Linked DNA regions of Solanum lycopersicum. The protein of the gene in region 2 binds, or shares a complex with, the protein of the main gene of each other region. Links are inferred from orthologs where the notes say so. Each region holds a gene or a part of one and is shown on either strand. Other genes may lie near its edges.

What was found.
Region 1: THO complex subunit 2 (region 2) and THO complex subunit 3 share a complex: the UniProt entries of both Arabidopsis thaliana proteins name them as parts of the THO complex. The link is inferred for Solanum lycopersicum from reciprocal best matches to the Arabidopsis thaliana genes THO2 and TEX1.

The regions. Positions count from the first base shown.
Region 1 is NC_090806.1:70,055,552-70,059,592, reverse strand, and holds the start of THO complex subunit 3, read left to right. Parts: upstream 1-1,226; 5' UTR 1,227-1,343; coding exon 1,344-1,406; intron 1,407-1,547; coding exon 1,548-1,643; intron 1,644-3,797; coding exon 3,798-3,927; intron 3,928-4,041. UniProt on the Arabidopsis thaliana protein: Acts as a component of the THO subcomplex of the TREX complex which is thought to couple mRNA transcription, processing and nuclear export. Contributes to the integrity of the endogenous trans-acting small interfering RNA (ta-siRNA) pathway.
Region 2 is NC_090804.1:20,333,498-20,337,013, forward strand, and holds part of THO complex subunit 2, read right to left. Parts: intron 1,606-3,516; coding exon 445-1,605; intron 1-444. UniProt on the Arabidopsis thaliana protein: Acts as a component of the THO subcomplex of the TREX complex which is thought to couple mRNA transcription, processing and nuclear export.

The sequences.
Region 1 (4,041 bases), on a different chromosome or scaffold from region 2:
TTTAACTGTAATTTCTTTGAATTCTGTCAAAAGAGACTATAGCTCAGCTAAAACTTTAAGATTAACACTAATGAATTTTTTTAAAATTATTTTATAATTATAATATTTGAATAAACTGATGAATATTTTCGATTAATTGCATGAAGTATTTAATTTTTTCAATTATATGTCCTTTGAAACATATCATGAATAATTGTGTTAAATTATTCGCTATCAAAATATCATACTAGTTTTATATTATTACTCAAATATAATCTAAAAAACCCACTTTTAATTCATTACAAATTAAATATACTTAATCAAATATCACAATGACTAAAATTATGAATAATTGAGGGAATAAAAGTAGAATTATCTCTAATAGTACTCTTAAATGGATGAGATTGGACTTTCTCCACGTATTTAGGAAGTTGATTGAACCTTTTTATTTTAATATTTCTTATATTCTTTAAATTGCTTTTTTGAATAGATGGGCAAGCTACTTATTTTATTTTATATCTAATCCCCAATCACATCAATTAATCTCCAGAAAAAGTGGGAAATAAGAAGTATTATTTGTTCAAACTTTTGAATTAAATTTAAAATTATTGAAAATGTTGTCTTGCTCAAAAGTCATAATTGTACAGTTTTGACAATTATTTGATAGGTACTAATATTTTGTTATATGTATTTTTCAATTAATAGACCAAATAAATAAATAATATAAAAGATATCATTTTGATGAACACTTTGACTTATGCTTGTGAAAAAATAAAATATTGTTAAAAAAGTAAATATATGCCAGTACACACAAACATGTACAATAAATATTTCTACGATTAATTCCTTCACAATTATTAGATGAAAAAAATATCAAAGATTAATTTCCACCATTTATATTATTATTTCTATAAAATATATGAATTGTTTCTTTATAACAAAAGAATTATAATTACGGTAAATCAATGGATCTTAAATGTTATACACCAAAATAATTTATTAAAGTTGAACACTTCTAGCTCTTGATCATTGTTATAACACAAAATATGTAACTCGTTTAAATTTAAACCTTGAAATTCCCGTTTAGATGATTTTTTTTTTCTGTTTAAAAGAGGGCTCACCTATTTCTCATGAGGCAGTTTCAACAAAAATAACTACTAGCGACCATGTGTTAATTACCAAAAATGCTCAATTTCGACAGTATAAAGGACTATTTTAGACCATTCTCAAACTTAAAGGACTAGTCTATCATTTTCTAAACAGGGTTGGCATGAAACGACAATATTGTGTGTCGTTTTGTTCGTCTTCTACACAAGCAAAAAAAATATTCAGAGAAGTAAACGGAGCAAACAAGCAGAAGAGTAATGGCGGAAACAATACCCTTCAAAAATCTTCATAGCAGAGAGTACCAGGGACACAAGAAGAAGGTTTCTCTCTCTAAAACTATTCCTTCACTTCATTGTTAACAATACAACCCTAATTTTGCTTTTCCTTTTTATGAACTCTCTGATTAGATGAATTGACTATGTGATACTTTATCTTCTCTGTTTTTTTAAAAAAAATTAAAGGTGCATTCGGTGGCATGGAACTGCAGTGGCACGAAATTAGCTTCAGGTTCTGTGGATCAAACAGCTCGTATTTGGCAAATTGAGCCTCATGGTCATGTAAGCTTCATGAGCTCATCTTTTTTGTTTTCAGTTAAGTTTTAATGCTGAAAAAAGGATAGCTTTTTGTTATTGCTCTGATTTTTAAATGTTCTACTGAAGTGGTGGGAAACTGGGTGTTGTAAATAAACTGAAAAAAGGATAGCTTTTTATGATATATGCATGAACTTAGGCACCTGAGATTTTCTCTAGAGTTAAGAAGCTGGTCTCTCACTTTAGTTGTTTCTGCCAAAGTCTAGTTCTATGTGGTATGAGTTAAGGAACCTATGATAGTAATGCCTGTTGCAGTTAGGTTTAAATTTTGTTGTTACTTATCAAAGGTGGGGTAAAGTAAGCGTAACCTCACTTGTGGGAGGTCATACGAATTCGATGTTATAGATACACAGAGAGGTTTGAATTGGGAGAATGGGTAAAAAGATGCAGAAATGCTCCAGAGTTGTACAGGATGGTAAAATATCGCATGTCCCAGCTCAACGCACTTGGTGTGGAGTTATAGAAAAGCTGGAAAGGTAGCAAAGGAACATTTGGGATGCGGCGGATGGGACAAAGAAGTTTCACCTAGTGGGACGGGAGACCGTGACATCTCCTAAACAGTGGTGAGGACTTGGGGTTAAAGACTTGAAGGTTTTTAACAAAGTCCTCTTGGATAAATGGCTTTGGAGATTCGAGATGGAGGAAGAAGCTTTATGGGAGGGGTGATAGCGGACAAATATGGAGTTATGGAAGGAAGATGGAGAACAAATGTGGTTACCTTCCGAGTTTGGCATGTAGAAGAATATAATGAAGGGGTGGGAAGCCTTTAACAAAAACATTTTCTTTTAAGTTTGGGGTTGGGAGGAGACTAGTTTTTGGGGGTCAAAAGTGGTGCAGTGATTTGGTTAAAGAATGATTTCTTGGTGTTGTATAGCATTTCTGGGCAAAGGGAGCTGTCTGTTCAGCAAATTAGGGGGTGGGACCTTCTGGGATTTCCGAAATTGGGAGATGACCGATCTTCAAAGCTTTCTAGTTTTATACCATAAGCAATGCAAACCAGTAGATAGACCTGATGCTTTGAGTTGGGAGTTGGTGAATAAAAAAGTGTTCTCTATTAAGTCCTATAAAAGCTTCCTGTTAGGGTGGAAGTTAGTTTTCTGTATGACTCGGTATGGACACCTAAGGTGCTGAAGAAGGTGTATTTCTTCTTGTGGTTAGCTACTAAAGGGGTGATATTGACGGTGAAGAATCTTAGGGAATGAAAGGTGGTGGGCATAAGTTGTTGTTTCTTGTGTCAAGAGGCAGGAGAGGACATGATCAATATTTTGCTACATTGCAAAACATCTCGAGGTTATGGTAGGATATCTTTAGATGGTTTGATATTTCTTGGGCAATCCCAAATGTCTGTTGAAGTGTTGATGTTCAGTTGGAAGAGTGGAGTTAGGATAAGAAGACACAAGGTGTGAATGTTACTCCTCTTGCAGTAATGTGGGTCATTTGGAAAGAGAGAAATAGGAGAGCTATTGAAAGGGTGGAGAATTGGAGATTAGCTTTGCTCAATTGAGGAGTAGTCTCCGATCCCTTATTTTCTTTTGGTGTAATTTTTGTTTGTATAGAGGATTGAGGTGTCTTTTGGAGAACCATGTTTGGTAGGTTTCTCCTTTTGTGGTATACTCCTTTTATATGACCAAGATAGCCTTGTTATTATCAATTAAATCTTTTACTTGGTCATAGACCAGATAAATTTTTACTTTGTTAGTAGATCGAGTGCTCCATAACTCTATATCATTTGTCATTTCTCTTTATCAAGGCTATAAACATACTTTTATCTTGTTTCATAGTCGCAAAAATCCCAAGTTCCTCAACTTTGGAATTTGCATGAAGATTGAATGATATTTTGCTTCTGTTGCTCTGTATCAATACTATAAATGTACTTTTATCTTGTTTCATAGTCACAGATCCCAAGTTCCTCAACTTTGGAACTTGCATGAAGATTGTAGTATATTTTGCCTTTGCTTGCAAAAACCTGAACAATTAATAGCTTGCCACCATAAAACTACACTAAAATGATTGCGCCCTATCTATGTTTTCAATATTCTAGTCTTTTCTCATTCTTGAGAGGTGGAGTATAGAACCTCTTATGTCTGCATACACTCCAAGTCTCTGATAGCTCTTTTGCAGGGAAAGGTAAAAGATGTTGAATTAAAGGGTCACACCGACAGTGTGGACCAGTTATGTTGGGATCCAAAACATGCAGAATTGATAGCTACAGCATCTGGTGACAAGACAGTTCGATTATGGGATGCCCGTAGTAAGTTTATATTATTTTGCACCAGCAATAAGCTGCCAAAGTACTGTATGAAATAATGAGTTGGAATTTAAAGAATGTAATGCTATAAGAGCCTATGTCTATTGGTTACTTGAG
Region 2 (3,516 bases):
GCCCCTTGAAAGGAGACAGACTGACAATACAACATGTTGTTTCTTTCACGAGGCTTCACTTCCATTTTGATGCTTGCTTAGAAACATTAAATTTAGATCTCAGATATATAGCCAAAACACACTTTGAATAACGATCAAAGATTTTTTTTCAAAAAAGTATGAGCAAATGGGAATAACTTCAAATGGAACTCCCAAATTTAGAATGTCAGAATTAAGAATAACATGCAACGAGTGAGTAGAATATCTATTTTTATACAGACAGAAAATGTGTATACCTATCAGTCTCAAGGATGATGGAATTCTAAACTATCATAATAGTATATATTCAGTTCCAGTGACTTTCCTAAAGTTCAATAATAATTGTGGGCATGACGTAATAACATCAACAATTTCACTGTCTACTCTATCTTGAACAATTATGCATGAAATGTGAATCAGGCTTACCTTAATTGAAAGTTCTCTCTCTTCCCGCTTTCTATCTCGAAAATCATCTTCTCTCCTTCTCTTCAAATCATCCTGCAACAATGCGTTATTCTCTTCTGATCGCCGTCTCTCTCTCTCATCATGCCTTGGAGAAAGTCTTTGACTATGTCTGGCAGTTCCAAAACGTCTATCAGAATCGTCCTCTCTCCTGCCTGCACTAATGGATTGCGGGACCAGATGAGGAGGCAGTGGTGGAGGTGGAGGCAAATTTTGATTATGAAACCGATCATCTGTAAGAGATTTTTCTACAGATGCTTCATTATGTCGCAGCTTGCTCCTATCATCTTTGATCCTTTCATCCTTACTCAACCTATCAAAGTTCCTATCAGCAACTCTCTCATGTACTCTCTCAATTGAACGTTCTCTTCCATGCCGCTCCGTTGATCTATCTCTTGATTTTTCAAATGCATCATCACCGCGAGACCTATCAGGACGGTCCCCTCGCTCTCTGGGGTCTCTCTCAGGTCTTTCACCACCCTTTTCTTTTGATCTATCAAGAGGCTTTTCAGAGGCTCGGTTCAATATTTGATCATCAGATCCATGTTTATCATAATCTGCTGGATGAAGTTTATCTGCAGCTCGTGCATCTATTAACCATTCTTTCTCCGATGAACGAGCATCAGCACATTCAGTATCTCTACCGTCAATTTCACCTTTCCGGCGTTTGTTCAGTCTATCAAGCTCTTCTGCGGGAATAGATCTCTTCTGTACTTTTTCATTAGCTTTAGAAGCATCTTGTCTAGGCGAATGAACCAGACGCAATGTGGACTCCTTATGCACATCAGAACTTTCAGTGACATCATCTTTTCCAGCAGAAACCCTCAGATCAGCAGATTTAGTAGTTGTATGTTCAGCATTAGATTCGTTTGAAGGATCTAACAATCTCGTCAATGGAGCTGCACCTTTAGGTGCAGCAGAAAACATGCTACCGTTCCCTGAAACTGTAGTAGAAACATTAACACTCCCACTTGCTCTGCTCTCAGAAGGATAACTAACATCACCAGAAGCAGCTCCAGATGCTCTTCCAACAGTTTTCCCAGATTTTTCATCTTTTGCAATATCATGTTTTTGTTGCTTTGACAGAGATCCAACCGGAGTAGATCGCTTGCCTGTGCCTCTTCCCTACAGTAAAGGGTGAATATTTTTTAAGTTCAAACAAGTTAACAAAAGAGAACTGCTCAACTAAATAATGGAAGGATCCATCATCTGCAGAAAGATTCATCGAAAAGGAAAGCAAAGCTTCATAATACATATTACACACTAACAATTAGGGGTGGCAATAGGCGGGTTGAGTTGGGTAAAAAAAGAGTCTAACCCATTTCTTTGTATCTTCATTTTTTCAAAAAATCTCAAACATTATTAAAATTCATTTTCTGCTTAAAAGTTCCTGCTAAAAAAACTAAGAAAATATGAATTAATTAATGAGTCTATGACTCAAAACTCAAAAGGTCACTTAACTATGTTGATAGCACACTCAACCAGATATTTTAGATTTTCCACTGTCCAAATACCTATTTAACTACCTGAATTATCAATCTATGCTCTTTTTTGTACTTCTTAAATATTATGATACTTTCTGTTTCTAATTAACATTATGGACTTATCTATGCTGACGGTCTACCGGAAACAACCTATCTACCTCCAAAGGTCTATGTGCATTCTACCCTCTTCATAGTCCACTGGTGGGATTATACATGGTATATTGTTGTTGTGGTCTAATCTATAGGATAATTAATATATCTTATTTATAAAGTAAAGGTGATTATTTTTTTTTAACAAAAATCAAGCATATACAGTATTAATAAAATAATGGAGCATAGTAAAAAAATTACTAGATAATTTAGGAATAATTGAGCCACCATTGTCTCCTCACAAGTAGAACACGTGCTTCTTATTCAATGACTTTACTAAGCCATCTACTAGACTACTACACATTATGTATATGTCAGTGTTCTCAAAGGCGCTCTTAAGCTACAAGCATAGAACATGTCGAGCGCTTAGTCACACACACGCTTTATGGGCACTTCAGTGTCGTCATCAAAGCTCCGGGGCATAATTTTCCTTGCTAATGAGTGCAATCCTAAAGATGTGACACTAAACAACTGGTATTTCACATTATTGTTATATTTTTCAAAATTTCATTGTCCATATATTTATTATCCATGCTTACGATTATTAATCTCGGACTACATATACATAGTCGTAGTTTTCTTCAATTTGTATTTTTTTCAATTAAGCCCACAATTAATTTGCAATTAAATCCCCAAAGGATCTATGACCTTTTTTGCATGAACCGCTTTTTGACAACACCGATATAAGTTATACATTTGTTTCAAAAAAATTTAATCCCCCTCAAAAACAACAAAAAGAAGTTTGGTCCCACTAGATGCAGAGAATCACTATGATGAGATTGAGAGGATCAAACAGGTTGAACTGTTGAAGCAAGCATCTTCAATGACGATTTAGAAGTGTTGAAGTGCAGCAAGTTGAGGGATAACTGAAATAGGTTGTATGGAACACATATGTCGTGTCTGCAACTTACGAATTAAACCCATACATGGCAAGCCCATTTTCACCCATACAATTACGGGTTAAATATAGGTAGAAACCCACATTTTACCCATTTGAAATATCAAGCGGCCAAAATCTTGACATGATATTGAAAACAACTTATATGTAAACCCATGGTAAAGGTTGATTCGGGTCAATAATGAACCGAATAACCTGATTAAAATAACCCCGATGTATGTTTGGACCCACGCGTGGTGGATGGGACCATTGGGACATGTTAACATATGTGCATGGTGCAAGATGGAAACTATATTCAAGTGTTAAGTGGTTAAAGTATCAAAATGGAATGACGAAATCGAGTCCAATGCAGTGTCATGGCATCATATCGCATGCCTAATGCGAAGAACTTAAAGTTTTTAAGGGAGAGTTTCAGTAACTGATGTAAGGCCAAAAATGTATATTTTTAATCATTATTTGCCACATATTTAGTAATTTTATTTATCCTTTTTGTGCATTAATTTT